3 linked regions of the Mus musculus genome follow. The protein of the gene in region 2 interacts with the protein of the main gene of each other region in a biochemical or structural test. Links are inferred from orthologs where the notes say so. Each region holds a gene or a part of one and is shown on either strand. Other genes may lie near its edges.

The links.
Region 1: of the proteins of Chek2 (region 2) and Cdc25a, one has a biochemical effect on the other in vitro, tested with the Homo sapiens proteins (5 studies listed by BioGRID, with this or other methods). The link is inferred for Mus musculus from reciprocal best matches to the Homo sapiens genes CHEK2 and CDC25A.
Region 3: of the proteins of Chek2 (region 2) and Atm, one has a biochemical effect on the other in vitro, tested with the Homo sapiens proteins (6 studies listed by BioGRID, with this or other methods). The link is inferred for Mus musculus from reciprocal best matches to the Homo sapiens genes CHEK2 and ATM.

The regions. Positions count from the first base shown.
Region 1 is NC_000075.6:109,876,946-109,882,819, forward strand, and holds part of Cdc25a (M-phase inducer phosphatase 1), read left to right. Parts: intron 1-215; coding exon 216-289; intron 290-1,322; coding exon 1,323-1,365; intron 1,366-2,285; coding exon 2,286-2,322; intron 2,323-2,888; coding exon 2,889-2,990; intron 2,991-4,527; coding exon 4,528-4,632; intron 4,633-5,874. UniProt on the Homo sapiens protein: Tyrosine protein phosphatase which functions as a dosage-dependent inducer of mitotic progression. Directly dephosphorylates CDK1 and stimulates its kinase activity. Also dephosphorylates CDK2 in complex with cyclin-E, in vitro.
Region 2 is NC_000071.6:110,837,744-110,844,305, reverse strand, and holds the start of Chek2 (serine/threonine-protein kinase Chk2), read right to left. Parts: upstream 4,258-6,562; intron 3,896-4,257; exon of another isoform or gene 3,766-3,895; intron 3,101-3,765; 5' UTR 3,094-3,100; coding exon 2,763-3,093; intron 1-2,762. Other genes in the region: iron-sulfur cluster co-chaperone protein HscB isoform 1 precursor, read left to right, coding at 4,578-4,810. UniProt on the Homo sapiens protein: Serine/threonine-protein kinase which is required for checkpoint-mediated cell cycle arrest, activation of DNA repair and apoptosis in response to the presence of DNA double-strand breaks.
Region 3 is NC_000075.6:53,525,931-53,531,804, reverse strand, and holds part of Atm (serine-protein kinase ATM), read left to right. Parts: intron 1-28; coding exon 29-174; intron 175-4,467; coding exon 4,468-4,632; intron 4,633-5,874.

The sequences.
Region 1 (5,874 bases), on a different chromosome or scaffold from region 2:
AGGCCTGTCTGACAATGTGGCCCAAGGCCAAACCACTCACTCCTTTCTTTGTTTAAATGCCAACTGGGGTATTCTGGGTGGCCAAGTGGGGTGTCCTTGGCTTGGTCTCTCAAAGATGGTTTGTGGCAGCCTGGCTACTTCGTGGCCTGTATGTCACCTTTTTTTTAATCATGTGCTAGAAATTGCTCATGTGGAGGTGCCTCTCTTGGTTTCAGTGACTGTGAGAAAATGGAAGTGAGAAATAACAGCAGTCTACAGAGAATGGGCTCCTCAGAATCGACCGATTCAGGTATTGCCATTACTGTTCATGTGTGTCTATGTATGTGCTCGTGTGTGTTTAGATCAGAAGGCATCAGAGCCGCTGGAGCTGGAGTTACAGGCCATTGTGAGCTGCCTGATATGGCTGCTGGGAACTGAATTTGTCCCCTCTACAGGAGCACCAAGTGCTACTAACCACTAAGCCACTTATTTTTAAGAATTTAATTAAATCAATTTATTTATTTTGAGACAGGGTCTCACCATGTAGATCACATTGGCCTCTTGCCTCTTGAGTGCTGTGGTTAAAGGCATGGGCCACCATCCATCCCCCTGACCACTCCAGGTGTCCGTTCAGCCTTCACATTCATCTGGAGTCAGCCATTCGGGAAGCATCTTGCCTAGGAATTTAATTGGCAACAGTACACATAGAAATTGTGGTGTGGTGTGGTGTGGTGTGAAGTGACAAACACCCTTTAGTAGAGTACAGAGGAAGCTCCTGAGACAGTTTATGAAGAGAAGAAGCGCCAAATCTTTATTCCAGTTCTTTTTTCTTTTTTTTTTTTTTAATGTGTGCTTTTATATATGTGGATGTTGGCTCACATGCCTCTCGTGTGTGCATGTGGTGTGTACTTTCCTCAAAGGCCAGGAGAGGGTGTCGGATCCCTTGGAACTGAGTTACTGGCGTTAGCATGTGGTGGCTGGGAATTGAACTCAGGTCCTCTACAAGAGCAATTGTGCTCTTCTGAAACATCTCTCTAACGCTACTTTTTGAAGACACAGTGTCACTATATACACCAGATTGGCCCCTTGGAACTGAACTTACCTGGTTGTATTTTTCATACCCCTAAATGAGTACATTTGAAAAAATAACTCCACAAAAACTTAGAGGGGTCAGTACTATCTGGGGAAAAAAAAATCAGTCAATCTTGATATTAGTTGGCCTCTTCAATCTTGTTTCCCTTGATGGTATTTGCAAATAGAGGATCCATGGGTGCACTTAGGAAATGTTGCTTAACACCAGAATGTGTATTACTTCCTAAGAATTTTGTTTTTATTTCTCAAAGGTTTCTGTCTAGATTCTCCTGGGCCCTTGGACAGTAAAGAAAAGTATGTATTCGTTACTTTAAAATTTTCTACTTAGAAGGAAAGTTTTCCTTAAGTAAGCCCAGTGGCACAGGCCTGCGGTCTCAGCTACTCGGGAAGTTAAGGCGAAAGGATCAGACACTCAAGGCCTGTCTGGGCAATGTAGTAAGATCCTGTCTCAAAGTGCAAAGAGCACCCGACTGCTCTTCCAAAGGTCCCGAGTTCAAATCCCAGCAACCACATGGTGGCTCACAACCATCCCTAATGAGATCTGACTCCCTCTTCTGGTGTCTGAAGACAGCTGCAGTGTACTTACATATAATTAATTAATAAATAAATAAATAAATAAATAAATAAAGTGCAAACTCGGTGATAGAGTGCTCGTGTGGTATGTGAGGCCCCAGGCAGGGTGAATCCCTAGAACCTCCCAAAAGGAAGAAACTTGTTGGTTAGCTTTTGATATGGAATCTCATTTTGAAGCCCTGGCTTGCCTGCCTGCCTCATGGGTGCTGGGTTAAAGGTATGCGCTGTTGCTCCTGGTCAAAACTTAATTTTTGAATAACGTTCTTCATACAGTGGACTAGAGCTCTGTAGTTAGCTGTGCCTGCTGAGTTGCTCGGATGCTAGAAACACTACTGGGAATGAGTGCTGCTTCATACCAGCAGTTTGCAGGACTTCCCCCCCTTTAGGTTAGCTGTAATTTCCCCTGCTCTCCTTTTTGACGTTAGGCCTTAAATGAACGGATGTATGTATTGTAGGAGACATCTTGGGGTTTGGGTTGGGTTGGTTTTTTCGATCTGGGGCGCTCCTGAGATCAGAGAACACTATTCTTGTATATGCTACAATGAGAACCATGCCATGCCCCTACTCTAGGTTGAGCAATGTGAATCTGCTCATATGAATATCTCTTTATTCTTATGTTTACCTTTTTGATCTCATTACAGCCTTGAAATTTCCCTGACGAGAATAAATTCCCTACCTGTAAGTTCTGTTGTTTTGAGCTAATACCTGTAAATTGCTCCATCAAACACCTTTCCCTACGATGAGAAAGTGGGCATTGCTTTTCTACATCCCTGTAAACACATAGGCAGTAAGGTATTACCTAGAGGAACTTCAACAGTAACAGCCTCTTGTGGACTTTGTACTCACCTCAGTTTTATCAAACCAGGAAATGTTCTTTTTATGCAAATGTTACTAGGGGGTTGGTATGGCACTATATCATACCTGCCAAGAGGTCAATGCACCTTGTCTGATTAGGTGGAAGGCCATTCTGAGTTAGAGCAGGTTGAACCCCTGGGCACTTATGTGGTGGTAAGCTAGTTTTTCCAAACCCCACTTCATTTCTTTAAGAATTAAAGTTTTGGCTGGGTATAATAGGTCAAACATGTAATCTTAGCATTTGGGAGGCTGAGGCAGGAAGGTCATCTCAAGTTCAAGGCCAGCCTTGTCTTCAAAGTGAAACCTTATCTTAAAAAAAGAAAAAGGTAACCTGAGTTTTCCATTGTGCTTGCCTCTGTGAACTCAATTTCTCTGTTTTACTTTGATAGCAGAAGCTCCTGGGATGTAGCCCAGCCCTGAAGAGGAGCCACTCTGATTCTCTAGACCACGACACCTTTCACCTCATCGACCAGGATGAAAATAAAGAAAATGTAAGCATAGCATCACCATGGCAACCCCAGCTGGCAGTGAAACCTAAGTGTCTGTCAGCAGCTGACAAGTGACATGGTTGGGCTGCCATCTAACCTGACTAATGGAAAGGCCACACCTAGCCTCTCAGTAGAGAAATCTGATTTTGAATCTTGCTTCTTCTACCTAGCTTTGTGATGCTGGAGTTTTGCTAGGCCAGCGCCTTTTTCCTGTACCTTATTTCCTCCGATGAGTATCTGTCACATTTATAAACACTGGATTGAAACGCTAAAATCCAAAGCCATGCAAGTTCTGTGGAGAATATCTGAAATGGTTGCTTTGAGGATGGTGTGTTTTATCCAGAAGTCCATGTGTGCCCTGCCTGGCTTTCTCTCTTAAACTGTACAGGGTGTCTTGTCTAGAATAGTTGGTCAGATTGATTGGCTTGCCTCTCGGCCACTCTATTTCCATATATTTGTTGTTTCCCATTTCCTGCCAAAATACCAGTCAATAACCCTTACAAAACCTACGTCTTGTATGAAAGCAGATTTTGTCTGGCAACTTAGGGAGACATCATGAGGTATTCCATGCAAATGGATTCCCTCCTTGACTGCTTGGAGCAGTTTGTCAACCTTTCCAGTACAACTGGACCAAAGTCTAGATGTAGCTCTTGACTCAAACTTGACTTCTCCCAAGGTTGTCTTCCTGGAAGCTTTGCTCTAAAGGAGAAATAGATAGATTAAATAACTTTCTGGAGTGGTCCTCTCTGGCTTCAAGATCGTAGGCACACCATTGAACCTGTAGATGTAGTTTTCTTACTGAACAGGCAGGTTGTATTTGATGATTAGATAAGCTTATGTTCAGAGAGTACTTAGTAATAAAAACTGATATTAGCAGTTACTGGTTTTAGTACTTAATAACAAGTGTGCTTCTGTAACTTAAAGATAGGCATGCATCTTTCTGCACATGGTGTTCTGCTTTGGTGTATGTCTGTGTACCATGTATGTTCCTGGTGTCTGCAAAGGCCTGAAGAGGGTGTCAGATCCCCTGAAACAAATTACTGATGGTTGTAAGCCAACCTGTGGGTACTGGGAATCAAACCTGGGTCTTTTAGAACTGTGTTCTCCAGTTGTGGGGGTTGCACATCTTTAATCCCAGCACTTGGGAGACAGGCAGGTGGACAAGGGCAGCATGGTGTACAGACTGAGGTCCAGGACAGTCACGGCTCCAGGAAGAAACCCTGTCTCAGAATACAGAATACAGAATGAATGAATTGAAAGGAACTCTGCTCTTACTGCTAAGCCATCTCTCTAGACTCAACAAATTTTCCTTAATTTTATTTAGTGAAAGAGAAAGCCTTGGGTGGGAGCGTGCCGCGGTGCACATGAAGACAGGTCAGCTTTCAGGAGTGTGTTCTCTCTCCACTGTGTGGGGTACAGGGATGGGATTCTAATCCATCTTCAGGCTTCCCAGAAAGTGTATTTACCAGCCAAGCCACCCCACCAGCCCTAGAGCTGTTTTATGGACAGTAGAAAATATTTCAAATATGTTGTTTTGCAGGAAGCATTTGAATTTAAAAAGCCAATACGACCTGCATCTCGTCACATCTACGAGGAGAGTAAAGATCCCTTTACACACAGGCAGAATTCAGCCCCAGCTCGGATGGTACGTGGTTTGGCTTTCGTATTTACAACATGGAGAGTGTGTGTGTGTGTGTGTGTGTGTGTGTGTGTGTGTGTGGCTTTCGTATTTACAACATGGAGAGTGTGTGTGTGTGTGTGTGTGTGTGTGTGTGTGTGTGTGTGTGTGCGCGCGCGCGCTGTGGCATCTGGAAGGTAGAGGGAGGAGGGCCAGGAGTTCAAGGTTGTGCTCAGCTCTGCTATGATTTAAGAACAGCCTGGGCTACATGAAATCCTGTTTCAAAAACAGAAAAGCAAGTTTACTGTTATTGTTTGATGGCTCATGGCTGAGGCCTATGAATTAACTGGAGTTGCCTCATTTGGCAGATTAGAAAGTTTCATTAGAGAAGTTGATATACTCATCAAAGGACATGTAAAAACACTAGAATTTAACTATAGGTTCCTCAGTACATGATAATAGTTTGAAAATATATCTGAAACTGATTGGTTTTGGTAGACACTTGGGAGTGAGAGTGCTAAGATCTGTAACTGCCTAAGCATTAAGAGCACCTGTATTATGGATGCTGGGGATGCAGACTTTAAAAGCCTGTGCTTATCTACTGGTTTGGCTTTTGTTTGGACTGGAGAGTTTGCTGTTACTCGCAATTTTTTTTTGAGACAGAATCCCTTAAATCCCTAGGCTAGCCTCAAATTTGTCAAAACTAGTCTTGAATTCTTTTTGCTCCTGCCTGTAGGATCACAAGTGTTTGCCACTACACCAAATTCGTTTTCAAGGTAGGGCATTGCATAGATGAGGTGTATGATCTTGGTACCCCTTAAGCATCAGTTTCAAGAAACAAAAAGCAAAAGATTATTTGGCTATGTCGACACACGTAGTCCCAGCTACACCTGGGACTGAGATAGAATGAACACTGGGAACACTTAGTCACAATGAAGAAAAAAGAGATTGACTACCAGAAGCGAGTGGTGTGCCTTAAATGGGACTATAGTTGTAAAGATTTTGTTGCTGTCTAGGACATCATAATCCCTCATTTAAATACTGGGCAGCTGTCATTTTAGTTTAAATCACTTTTTTTAATTTTGTGGAGCGGGGTGGTATGCACACATGCATATAGCTGCCCTAGGAGGCCAGGGCCTTAGGATCATGTGAAGCTGGAACTACAGGCAGCTGTGAGCTGTCTGATGGAGATACTGGAAATTAAACTCAAAGTTTCTCCAAGAGCAGTATTTGCTCTTACCCATGGAGCCATCCTTCCAGCACCAGCTT
Region 2 (6,562 bases):
AGTTCTAAACTGTGCCAGGCTAAAAACTAAGGCTCTGTGCTCTAAATAAACAGTCAGCTGTACTATTAAAGGGGTAGAGGCAGGAGGTTCAGGGGCTCGCAGACAGCCTTATCAACACAGCAGGTAGATAAGTATCATAATACAAAACAAAACTAAAATAAAATAAGCAACAAGAGCTTGCTGACAGGAGACTGATATAGCTGTCTCCTGAGAGGCTCTGCCAGTGCCTGGCAAATACAGAAGAGGATACTCACAGTCATCCATTAGATGGAGCAAAGGGTCCCCAATGAAGGAGCTAGAGAAAGGACCCAAGGAGCTGAAGGGGTTTGCAGCCCTCTAGGAGGGACAACAATATAAACTAACCAGTACCTCCAGAGCTCCCTGGGACTAAACCACCAATCAAAGAAAATACACGGGCTAGGCGTGGTGGCGCACACCTTGAATCCCAGCACTTGGGAGGCAGAGGCAGGCGGATTTCTAAAAACCAAAAAAAAAAAAAAAAAAAAAAAAAAGAAAACACACAGAGAGACTCAAGGCTCTAGCTACATATGTAGCTGAGGATGGCCTAGCTGGTCATCGATGGGAAGAGAGGCCCTTAGTCTTGTGAAGGTTCTATGCCCCAGTATAGGAGAATGCCTAGGCCAGGAAGTGGGTGTGGGAGGGCTGGGGAACAGTCGAAGGGGGGAGAGGATGGGGGTTTTTGGAAGGGAAACTAGGAAAGGGGATAACATTTGAAATGTAAATAAAGAAAATATCTAATTAAAAAAAAGAAGCCATTGAGCTAAAAAGCATATTAAAAATAAGCTGGTGTGTGTTTGTGTGTACATGTGGGGGGTCAGGGGATCTGTCTGACTTTCATCTGTGGATCCAGGATGGTGACTGGTAGCAAGGTCCACCCGGCGCTTAAAGCAGGGTAGTAGAAACTATATACAACAGGGTACACTACCTCATCTATAACCTTTGCATTCAGGAGATGAGATGAGAACATGGTGAGCCAGCCTGGGGACATGGAAAAATAACTGATGGTTAACCTTGACTGTCAACCAGACTGAATCTGAAAACAACTAAGAGACAGCCCTCTGGGTGGACCTGTGAAGTATGAACTGAAGGGAAGAGACTTTACAACAGAGTGTGTGTCACCTCCTACAAGCCAAGACAGGGAGGTCCAAGGGAAAAAGTGTTGCTTGCTTGCCTTCGCTTCTTGCTGGCAAGTGCTTCTATGCCATGATTTCTGCTACTGCCCTTCGCTGCTTCTTTCCAATACAAAGTGAAGATCAGCTCGCTCTCTAGGAATCCTCCAGGCTGTCAGTGCCAAACTGGCACTCCTGGCTGAGACATCTAGTCTTGTGGACTGAGTAGCTCCTAAGTCTTAACTCTCTCCATCATGAAGAGAACTACGAATGGATGATTCAGGCCATATCATGTAACCAATTTAATAGATCCTGTCCCCTAGTTTGGGGGTTTTTTTGTTTTGTTTTGTTTTGTTTTTCTGAGACAGAGTCCCTCTGTGTAGCCCTAGCAATCCTGGAACTCCCAGGCTACCCTCAAACTCAGAGCTCACTTTGCCTCTGCTTCCTTTTACTACCACATCTGGGCTAATCCAGATCTCTTGAGGTGGGAAGATCCACCTTTAAGCTGGACCACACCTTCTGCTGGCAGCCTATATAATGGGCATGAAAAAAGGAAGCTTTGCCAGTTTGATCTCGCTCTTACTGGCAAGTTCATTCCTTCACTGAGCACTAGTGAGCATACTTTTTTTTTAATTTATTATATGTAAATACATGGTAGTTGTCTTCAGATACCCCAAAAGAGGGTGTCAGATCTCATTACAGATGGTTGCAAGCCACCATGGTTGCTGGGATTTGAACTCAGGACCTTTGGAAGAGCAGTCAGTGCTCTTAACCACTGAGCCATCTCTCCAACCCCCTAGAGCATACTTCTACAAGATAGTAATGTATACTAAAGACCAACTAAGACATCCTGCCTGGATTCTTACTGGATTCTTACACCTCCCCTGGGTAGCCATTGTTGAATTAGCTGGACCATAGCATGTAAGCCACTCTAATTAGTCCCTATATATACATACATACATACTCATTCTATCAGTTCTGTTCCTCTAGAGAACCCTGACTAATACAAGTATCTTTCAAAACTGTCTCAGAATGAGCTAGGTCTCCACATTCAAATGAATAAATTTGAACCACATATGGTCGATATGTGTAATCCCAACTGAGACAAGATCAATGCAAGTTCAAGGCCCCAAGGAACTACACTGTGAGTTCCAAGCCCACCTGGGCTGCAGAATTCCTTGTCTCACAAACAAACTAGTAGAGCCTGATAAAAATGTGTGCCTATAAACCCAGCACTTAGGAAGTAGAGGCAGGAAGATCAAAAGTTCACAGCCAGGCTGAGCTACATAGTGAGTTCAAGGCTAACTCAGGCTACAATAGAATCTTTTTTCTGAAGAAAAAAGAAAAATTTGAGGCTAGCCTATGAAATTTAGCAAGATTCTATTTAAAAATAAAAATAAGGTAGCCAGGGATAGGACCTTGGATGTAGTTCAATGTAAGAGCTCTCTACTATGTGTAAGGCCTAAATCTGATCTTCAGTATGAACAGGGCCACCAGGAGGAGATAAACTCTACCACAGGGGCCCTGAGACTTCTGCTGCAACAACCTAACCACCTTCTTTTTTTTTTTCCTAACCACCTTCTTTAACTGTTTCTCTGAACACACACTATATCATATAACAAAGTGCCTTACCTAGATTGGAGAATCCATCCTGAAGAGCCCATAGCCGAGCCCAAGGGGCAGGACCAGGTTCTTCAGGTTCTTGGTCCTCAGGAATAGAACAGAGTTCCTGGGTAGACACTGTCTCCAGCGAGCTCAGAGTCCCAGAACTGGAGTGCGAGGACTGGCTGGAGGACGGCACTGTGCCGGTAGAGGAGCTGGACGAACCCTGATACTGTGAGAGCTCGTGCAACTGAGAAGGAGTGCCTTGGGGCTGGCTGAAGCCACCCTGGGACTGTGAACAGGAAGCACTGTCATGAGCCTTCGAGGAGGTGCTGCTGTGGGACTGATGATGACTCTTCATATCCGACCTCGAAAACAAGAGTCCAACAATAAGGAACAAGGCTCTGGATTCGAGAGTGGAGAAGGGGAGGGAGCAGGAGAGGACTCGGCAGGAAAGTGCACATACTATTCTTGCAGAACCCAAGTTTCCCTACGTTCTCAGCACCAAATCTGGCAGCTCGAGGTTTCCTATAACTCCAAAGTCAGTGGCTCTGTAGTGGATCTTGGCCTCTGCAATCACCAGAGCTCACACTTGCACTTTCCCACACAGATAACATAATTAAAAGTAAAGTAAATCTCTACCCAAAATTAGTCATGTGGCTGCTATAACTCAATGGTAGATGGTTCATCACTTCTCCAACAGAAGCAAAGTACTGGATCCCACTCCCAGTATTGTCAAACATACAAAATGAAGACAGTTAAGGAGTCAAGAGTACAGTTCCCAGCACCCACATCCAAAAGATCACAAACACCTGTAATTCCAGCTCTTGGTGATACAATGCCCTCTATTGGCCCCCGTGCGCACTGCACAGACTTAGACACGTGATTAAAAAAAATACATAAAGAAATTTAAAGGAACGGGCACATTATGACCACCTCAAAATGAAAGACAGGCCCATTCATGAGTGGGGAGAAAAAAAAGTGACCATAGCAAAATCCCAGGATTATGAATAGAATTCCAGAGGCCACTTACAAAGCATTACACCATCTTCCTTCATGTACAGAAGCTGAGAATGGCTTGGTTGTCTCCTATCCATTCCTTGCCATCCTACCCCTCACGTATGCTGAGTATGCAGACGTACCCTCTTCAGTTCCTGCAGAGCCTAGCAGCGAAGATCGGGTTCTCAGTAGGTATTTGGGGAAAGCCATCTAGGGGCTGGCATGAACATTTATAATGTTCGTTATGAAAACTACTTCGCTCTGGCAACGAACAGCCCGGCGTTGTGCCTTCCTATGTGCCCAGACCTGTTTCAGCTCACAAGGAACAAGGAAAGTGAACTTCCCCCCCGCTTCCCCCCCGCGCGCCCCAAGGGCAGATAAAAAGGAAGAATTGACTATGCACAGCGCCCCCTCGCTCGCACAAGAAAGCAGACAAAGCGGAAGCTGCAGAGGGCCCATTTGCACAAGAAGCATGAGAACGGTATTCGACTCCTCAAACACTTAAAGTTTCCCACTTATGACTCACCGCGTGAGACCACCAGGAGCCGCAAACACTGCACAGCCTCCGCCAGTGGAGTGGCGCTAAACCTACGGATACAAACTCCACCCTCAACCAATCAAAAAGCCTTCCTCCCCGGCAGGACCAGTAAGAAAGCCCGAAGATGACTGCCGCGATTAGTCTCAAGGCTTGCTGGGAGTTGTAGTTTAACATGCAGAACGGGACTCGACGTCTTGGTTTCCCGCGGCTAATCCCGCCTCCTCGACTCCCTTAACCAATCAGCAGCGAGACGGTCTTTCCTCCTTTCCCTCGGGTCTTGCTACCTAGGTCAGCGAGCGGCCGTCCCAATGTGGGGATGCGGAGCCCGTGCCCTGCTGGGTGTGTGGGAGGTGCGGCTGGCAGGGTTCCTGGGAAGGAGACTTTTGGGCAGCAATGCCGCCGCGGGGAAGAGCATTGCACCGCAGTGCTGGAACTGCGGTCACGCAAGGGAAGTCGGGTGTGGGGATGAGTTCTTCTGCTCACACTGCCGCGCTCTGCAGCCTCCTGACCCCACTCGTGACTACTTCAGCCTCATGAACTGGTACGGGCGGCGCGTCGTGACGGGAAAGCAGCTCGGGCTTCGTAACCCGAGCGATCTAGGCTTGGGGCCGCGTCTGCGGGGCTGTAATTTCCAGCCAGCTTGGGGGGGTCTGAGGCTGAGGACCACAGTTCAAAGCCATCTTAGGCAATTTGCCGAGACTGATTCAAAACAACTACAAAGATGGATAAGTGTAGGCCATAGGTATAAGTAGTACCTAGTGAGATTTTAGGAGTTTTCCTGAGACGGAGAGGAAATAAAGTTACAGACTGGAGAGAAGATAAGGGTGGAGGCGGGGGTCAAACAGGAGTGAAGTTGCAGATGCCTGTCTGTGATCTAAGCACTTGTAAAGTGGAAAACACAGGTTCAGGAATTCAAGACTAGCAGTAGCTACAAGGACCTTGTTTTTAAACATCAACAAACAGAAACGGACAAGTTTACGGTATAGGGAGGTTTGAGGGCTGAGACTTCTGGAAAATCCATTGGCCAAACTTACAGGAACTGGGAGAGGTTTTTGTTTGTTTGTTTGTTTGTTTTTTAATTTAGCCTCACCTTGAAGTCTCGCCTGGCCTGCCTGGAATTCCACCAACCCCCTCTGCCTCACCAATGCCAGGATTAAAAGCATGCTAGACAACCGTAGGAGATGATACCCCACTTGGAGGCCAACCACACAAATAGGGAACATCTCATCGCAAATAAATTATTTATTTAACGGAGAAAATAAATACAAAACAAGCCAGGTGTGTTGGTGTTATGCCTGTGAGTCCAGCACTCAGAGGGTACAGCTGAGCCTGTACGTTTGATGAGACTCTGGGCTACATGAGACTAGGTCTCAAAAACCGAAAGCAATTAAGAACAAAACAAACCTAGTGTAGTAGCCTATGTCTAAAATCCCAGTGTTCAGTAGGCTGAAGGAAAAGGGTCAAAAGTGGGAACCCAACATAGGCTAAGCAGTGAGACCCTGTCTCAAGAAAACAAAAATTTAATTCAGGCTGAGAATTTGAGGGAGAGACACCAAGAAGTGTTCTCTGTACTTTGTCCCCCCCCCCCTGCCTTTTCTCTTTTTTTAAGACTTATTGATTGTATGTAAGTACACTGTAGCTGTCTTCAGACACACCCGAAGAGGGCATCAGATCTCATTACGGATAGCTGTGAGTCACCATGTGGTTGCTGGGAATTGAACTCAGGACCTCTGGAAGAGCAGTCTGTGCTCTTAACCACTGAGCCATCTCTCCAGCCCCTCCACTCTGCCTTTTTCCTCCCCTGTCTCAGAGATTGGAGAGGTACCGAAGTGTGCGCAGAGTTGAACTAAAGATTAAAATGGGAGGGCCCGCTGTGGCTGTACTCAACTATGATCCCAACCTCCAGACAAAAGCAAAAAGATACAGAGTCCAGTTTGCATCCTACAGTCAGGGCTGCACAGTAGCAGACTGCACAGACTCAGTTGGAATCACTCCCTGGAAAGAAAGGAGTGCTGAATCCTTACTTCATAGTGGTGATAAAACACATCCTTGTATTAGCCAAGGTTTGGGTTCAAATCCCAGGACTATGCTTTAAAAGAATAAAAAAAAAAAAAAAAAAAAAAGCTGAGCAGTGGTGACGCACACCTTTAATCCCAGCACATGGGAGGCAGGGGCAGGCGGATTTCTGAATTCAAGGCCAGCCTGGTCTACAGAGTGAGTTCCAGGACAGCCAGGGCTACACAGAGAAACCCTTTCTCTAAAAAAACAAAAATAAATAAAGAATACCTGCTTC
Region 3 (5,874 bases), on a different chromosome or scaffold from region 2:
TGAGGATATGATTTATTTTTCCTTGAAGGTTTTTACAGAAGTACATTCAAAAAGAAATGGAAAGTCTGAGAACAGCAAAATCAAATGTATCAGCCACCACACAGAGCTCCAGACAGAAGAAGATGCAAGAGATCAGCAGTTTGGTCAGATACTTCATCAAATGTGCAAACAAAAGTAAGTAACCTTGGCTGCGTGTGGTGGCACACACTGCTGTGGTGGCGCACACCTTTAGTCCCAGCACTCAAAAGGCAGAGGCAGGTGGATCTATAGCCTAGCCTGGACTATAGAGTGAGTTCCAGGACAGCCAGGGCTACACAGAGAAACCCTGCCTCAAAAAACCCAAAGCAACAAAAAACGTAAACAACATCATGTATTACACACAAATGCTTCAGGAGTTAGCGTAGCATAAATTTGATCTTAATACAGTAGCATAAAAATTAAGTTCTCCTTGAAATTCCTAGCATTACACTGGCTTTTCATATAGTAGGTCCAAAATTTAGAGTAATTTAGCATAAAATGTTTAATCTCAGAAGTGGAAAGATTAAAAATTAATGTTTCAGTTCCCCATTCTTGTATTCCCTCTACGTGTTTTTATACATCAGCAGAAGTGCAGTCTTAAGGAGGCTGAATAACTTTAAGGGTATAAATTGCTGTCAGGCCAGTGAGATGGCTTGCCAGGTAAAGAATCTTTGCCAGTGCCGGGCGTGGTGGCGCACGCCTTTAATCCCAGCACTCGGGAGGCAGAGGCAGGCGGATTTCTGAGTTCGAGGCCAGCCTGGTCTACAAAGTGAGTTCCAGGACAGCCAGGGCTACACAGAGAAACCCTGTCTCGAAAAACCAAAAAAAAAAAAAAAGAATCTTTGCCAGCAAGCCTGGTGGCCTCCGTTTGAGCCCAAGAACCGAAACGATGGAGAAAACCAACGCTTCCAAGTTGTCCTATGACCCCTACACAGGCACCAAGGCATGGCTGATTTAGTGCACGTGTGAGCATGTGAGTGCACACAAAGTAAATACTCAGAAAATGTGTAAAAAAAAACATTGTTTTTAAAGTTTACTTTCATCGATTACTGCTCTTTTTATTTTTAAAGATTTTTTTGTTTTATATATGTGAGCACACTGTCACTGTCTTCCAACACATCAGAATAGGGCATCAGATCCCATTACAGATGGTTGTGAGCCACCCTGTGGTTGCTGGGAACTGAACTCAGGACCTCTGGAAGAGCAGTCAGTGAGTGCTCTCAACCGTGGAGCCATCTCTCCATCTCCTTTTTTTTTTTTTTTTTAAGGTTTGCTTATTTATGTGTATGAGTGGTTCTGTCTGCATGTATGTAAATACACTACATATTCCAGTTCTTGAAGAAGTCAGGAGAATCCTCTGGAACTGGGTAGTTACATGTGAGTGCTGGGAACCAAACCCAGATCCTCTGCAAGAGCATCAAATGCTCTTAACCAGTAAGCCATATCTCCACCCCTCTAGCTGCATAAATTATACACAGAAAACCTGGTATTTATTTCCACATGATATCATTTGATGTATTTGAAAATAACCATAGCATTCCTGAGTGATCTTTCCCTAAATTAAATGGACCTAATTCCTTCAGCTCATTGACATAGTTTTAATTTCACTTTCTCTTTAATATTCTTGAGTTTGTTATTTCTTAAAGAGTGGCATCAGTCTTGTAGTATTATCTAGTTGGTACAGCCTACAGCATATTTGTTTCAGTTTTGTTTTTTGAAATAGGGTCTTTCAGTGTAGCCCAGGTTGGCCTCAGATATGTGATCCTGGTGCCTCATATCTTCTTCAGTTCCTGGATTGCAAATATGTGCCCCCATGCTGGCTCTGTACTTACTCATTCATTCATTCATTTTCGTGCTCACGCATATATGTGGTGGGTGCACACGGGTATTTTGGTAAATGGGAGGTCTGCTTGTGTTTTGGAGGTTGCTAAATAGTCCAGGTTTTCTGGTCAACAAGCCCCTGAGTCCTGTCTTTTTTGTGCTAGGATTACAAGTGCATGCCACAATGCTCAACTTTTTTATGTAGGGTCTGGCAGGTCAAATGTAGGTCCTCATCCTTGTAAGGTAAGCATTTTACCAACTAAGCTATCACCCCAGCATTTATTCTTTACATTTATTATTTTGAGATAACACTAGCCTCTTGTAGTCAAATTTAGTCTATTTACTTGTTTTTTTTTTTTAAATGTTATTTTTGTTTGTTCTTTTGCAATGGTAGGTACAAAAACCCATGGTTTATGCATGCTGGGCAGTACTGTGCTACTGAGTTTTAATCTCGACTGAGAGAATTAGGAAATAAAAACATAAATTTTAAAACAATTGTGTTTGGCAGAGAAAGAGAATGTTCTGGGCAAAAGGAGACAGAAAATTAAGATTTCATCTTAATATTTATGAAGTTAACTTTATTTATTGTCTATTGTTGGTCTTGGGCATTTGTGGTAAATTATTCCTTTCCAAAATCTGACAGTACAACAAATACTGTATATAAAAAAGTATTTCAGAAACTGTGGGAGAGATAGCCAAGGACTATAGAAAAGGATCATGCAGACGTGGGCATTGTCATGGGTCACACGCCCGGAATCATAAGCCATGAGTGAAAGCTGCTATTTATACTGTGATAGCATTGCGTACTTACCATAGCCTGACCCTCCTGAGTGTAGCCAGTCTCATCATTAAGAAAATGCTAATCTAACACATTTTACTTATGCATATTGAGTTTCATCCTACCTGTAGTTCAATTTCAAAATGAAGTCAGTACTGAAGAAACCATGGTCTTTTAGTTTCGATGTCAGTATGATTTTATAAAAAGCAAGCCAGTAAGGAATATCCCTCCATGGCCTCTGCATCAGCTCCTGCTTCCTGATCTGCTTGAGTTCCAGTCCTGACCTCCTTTGGTGATGAACAGCAGTGTGGAAGTGTAAGCTGAAAAAACCCTTTTCTCCCCAACTTGCTTTTTGGTCATGATGTTTGTGCAGGAATAGAAACCCTGACTAAGACAAATTGGAAACTACAAAATAAACATTTTAATTTCTGTAGCCTTGGCTATAGCCTTTACCTGGAGTTACAGGCTGACACACCCTAAAGGTAAACTTAAACCCTGCCCTCCCTTTTCTTTAGATAGGGTTTCCTTGTGGCCCAAGATGGTCACTTTTATTTTTTAAGATTTATATATTTATGTGTACACTATAGCTGTCTTCAGACACTCCAGAAGAGGGTGTCAGATCTCATTACGGATGGTTGTGAGCCACCATGTGGTTGCTGGGATTTGACTCAGGACCTCTGGAAGAGCAGTCAGTGCTCTTAACCACTGGGCCATCTCTCCAGCCCCACCAAGATGGTCTTAAACTTACTTACTGTATAGTGAAGAATGATACCTTAACCAGAATCTTGCCCTAACCAAGGACTATTTGGATTATTGGTGTGTAATACTGTTCCTGGCATAATTTTGTTTTTAAATGTAATTTTGTGATCTTTAAAAATATACATTTAGGGGTGGGGGAGATTACACTGGCTGCCTTTCCGGAAGACTTGGATTTGATTCTTAGCACCCACATGGGAGCTCTCAACCATGTATAAATTCAGTCCTTAAAGATCTGGAGCCTTCTTCTGATTTCTGAGGCACTGCATGCATGCAGTGCACAGACATACATGGAAGCAAAACACCCATGCACATACCCATTTTAGAAGAACATTTATTAGCAATGAATTTTCAGAATCTAAACTATTGTGCTGTTAAAACTTCAGCCTTTTCTATATGTATGCTATTTGTCTTCTGTTTAGATGTAATGGAAATAATCTTGCTTTTTAGAGTAGCTAGGCTATTCTTAATAGAATATTTCAAGATTATTTTAATAAATTTATTCATAAAGCTGCTCAGTGACTTAGAATCCTTTTAATTCCAGTGCCACAAATTGTGAGTTCAGTATAAAAATTAATCTATTTTTGCTGTATTTTTAGAGGTTGGTAAATTTAATCTTTAATGGTGCTATCTAGCAAATGTTTTCTTTTTCTTTAACTTTCTGGGTCATATATTATCCATTGCAGATACTCATTTCTTGTCATTTACAGTATTAAATGCAGAAATGTGATTGTGTTCCAGTTAAACTTTATTAACAAAATGGCCAACCAGTTGAATTTTACTTAGGGGCTACCCTGTTGAGAGAAACTATGAGAGTGAGTTAAGAGAAACTTGCTGAATGGAATCACTTAAAGAAGTTGGCACTTAGCTGGGCGTGGTGGTGCACGCCTTTAATCCCAGCACTTTGGAGGCAGAGGCAGGTGGATTTCTGAGTTCGAGGCCAGCCTGGTCTACAAAGTGAGTTCCAGGACAGCCAGGGCTACACAGAGAAACCCTGTCTCGAAAAACAAAACAACAAAAAAAGTTGGCACTCTGAAGGAGTCTTTATTTTTATGATCTATACATTTTTACTATTTTGTTTTATTTTTAAATAGGAGCACCCAGGCTAAAATGTCAAGACCTCTTGAATTATGTCATGGATACAGTGAAAGACTCATCTAATGGTCTAACGTATGGAGCTGACTGTAGCAACATACTACTCAAAGACATTCTTTCTGTGAGAAAATACTGGTGTGAAGTATCTCAGCAACAGTGGCTAGGTATGTTTTGAAGCCTGTGATTTTTTCCCCCCCTTATAAGATGAAATTTCAACAATAAAAGCAGTCTATATCCCACAGACGACTCAGAGTTTAATATTATATTGATGAAATTATATCATTGTAGTTTCAGAGCCTTCATTTTCTTCCTTTTCAAGTAACATCTTGCTATATATCCCATTCTGGCCTTCAACTTGTAATCCTCTGCATTGGTCTGTTAAGGCTGGAATTATAAATATGGACTACCATGCCCAGTTCTTAATTTTCATTTATTATGTACTTTGAAAAGCATTAAGACAAGCTGGTGAGATGGCTCAGTGGGTAAGAGCACTTACTGCTCTTCCAAAGGTCCTGAGTTCAAATCCCAGCAACCATATGGTGGCTTACAACCACTCGTAATGAAATCTGATGCCCTCTTCTGGTGTGTCTGAAGACAGCTACAGTGTACTTATTTATAATAATAAATAAATCTTTGGGCGAAAGCGAGCAGGGACTGAGCGAGCAGGGTTGACTGAAGCGAGCAAAGATCCAAAATTTAATTCCCAACAACTACATGAAGGCTCACAACCATCTGTACAGCTACAGTGTACTCACATACATTAAATAGATAAATACATCTTTTTTTTTAAAAAAGTATTAAGTCACATTGTTTATAGTAGGTGTTTACCACTAGAACTGGAATTACAGATTTCAAAGATTACTGCTCTGTTTTCAAATATTCAGCCGTCCAGTGACTGAGAAAAATAGTCAGCTAAAAATTACCATGCCATTCACTCTCTCCAGGCTTGTTTACAGTGTGTACACAGAACAGCGATACCTTAACTGAGCCATAAATAAAGGAGGAAACCAAAAGAGAGATGTCACAGAGGTTGAAAGCAAGGGTTCTGAGTTAAAAGGGTTGTGGTAGATACTTTAAATGTCAGAGGAAGGATAACGTGCAAAAGTATTCACTGTGTTAGGCAGAGGTAGATATTAGGTAACTAGTAAGGGAATGAAAATCAAATGCGTTAAAATATCTTTTACTCATTGACTTACTAGATATTCAAAGTACTATTCTTTTTAAATTTCTATTTCCAGACTGTTCACTGCTGTGATACAAAATTATTTCTTCCACCTGGCATCCTGGTCTGAGCACTTGAGAGAGTTGTTATTAAATCCTAATCCCAAATCACTGAAAGTATCACTTCTCGGATCATTGTGATGCAGTGTAGCTTAAGGCCTCACCAGAGTCAAACCTGCTTCTAT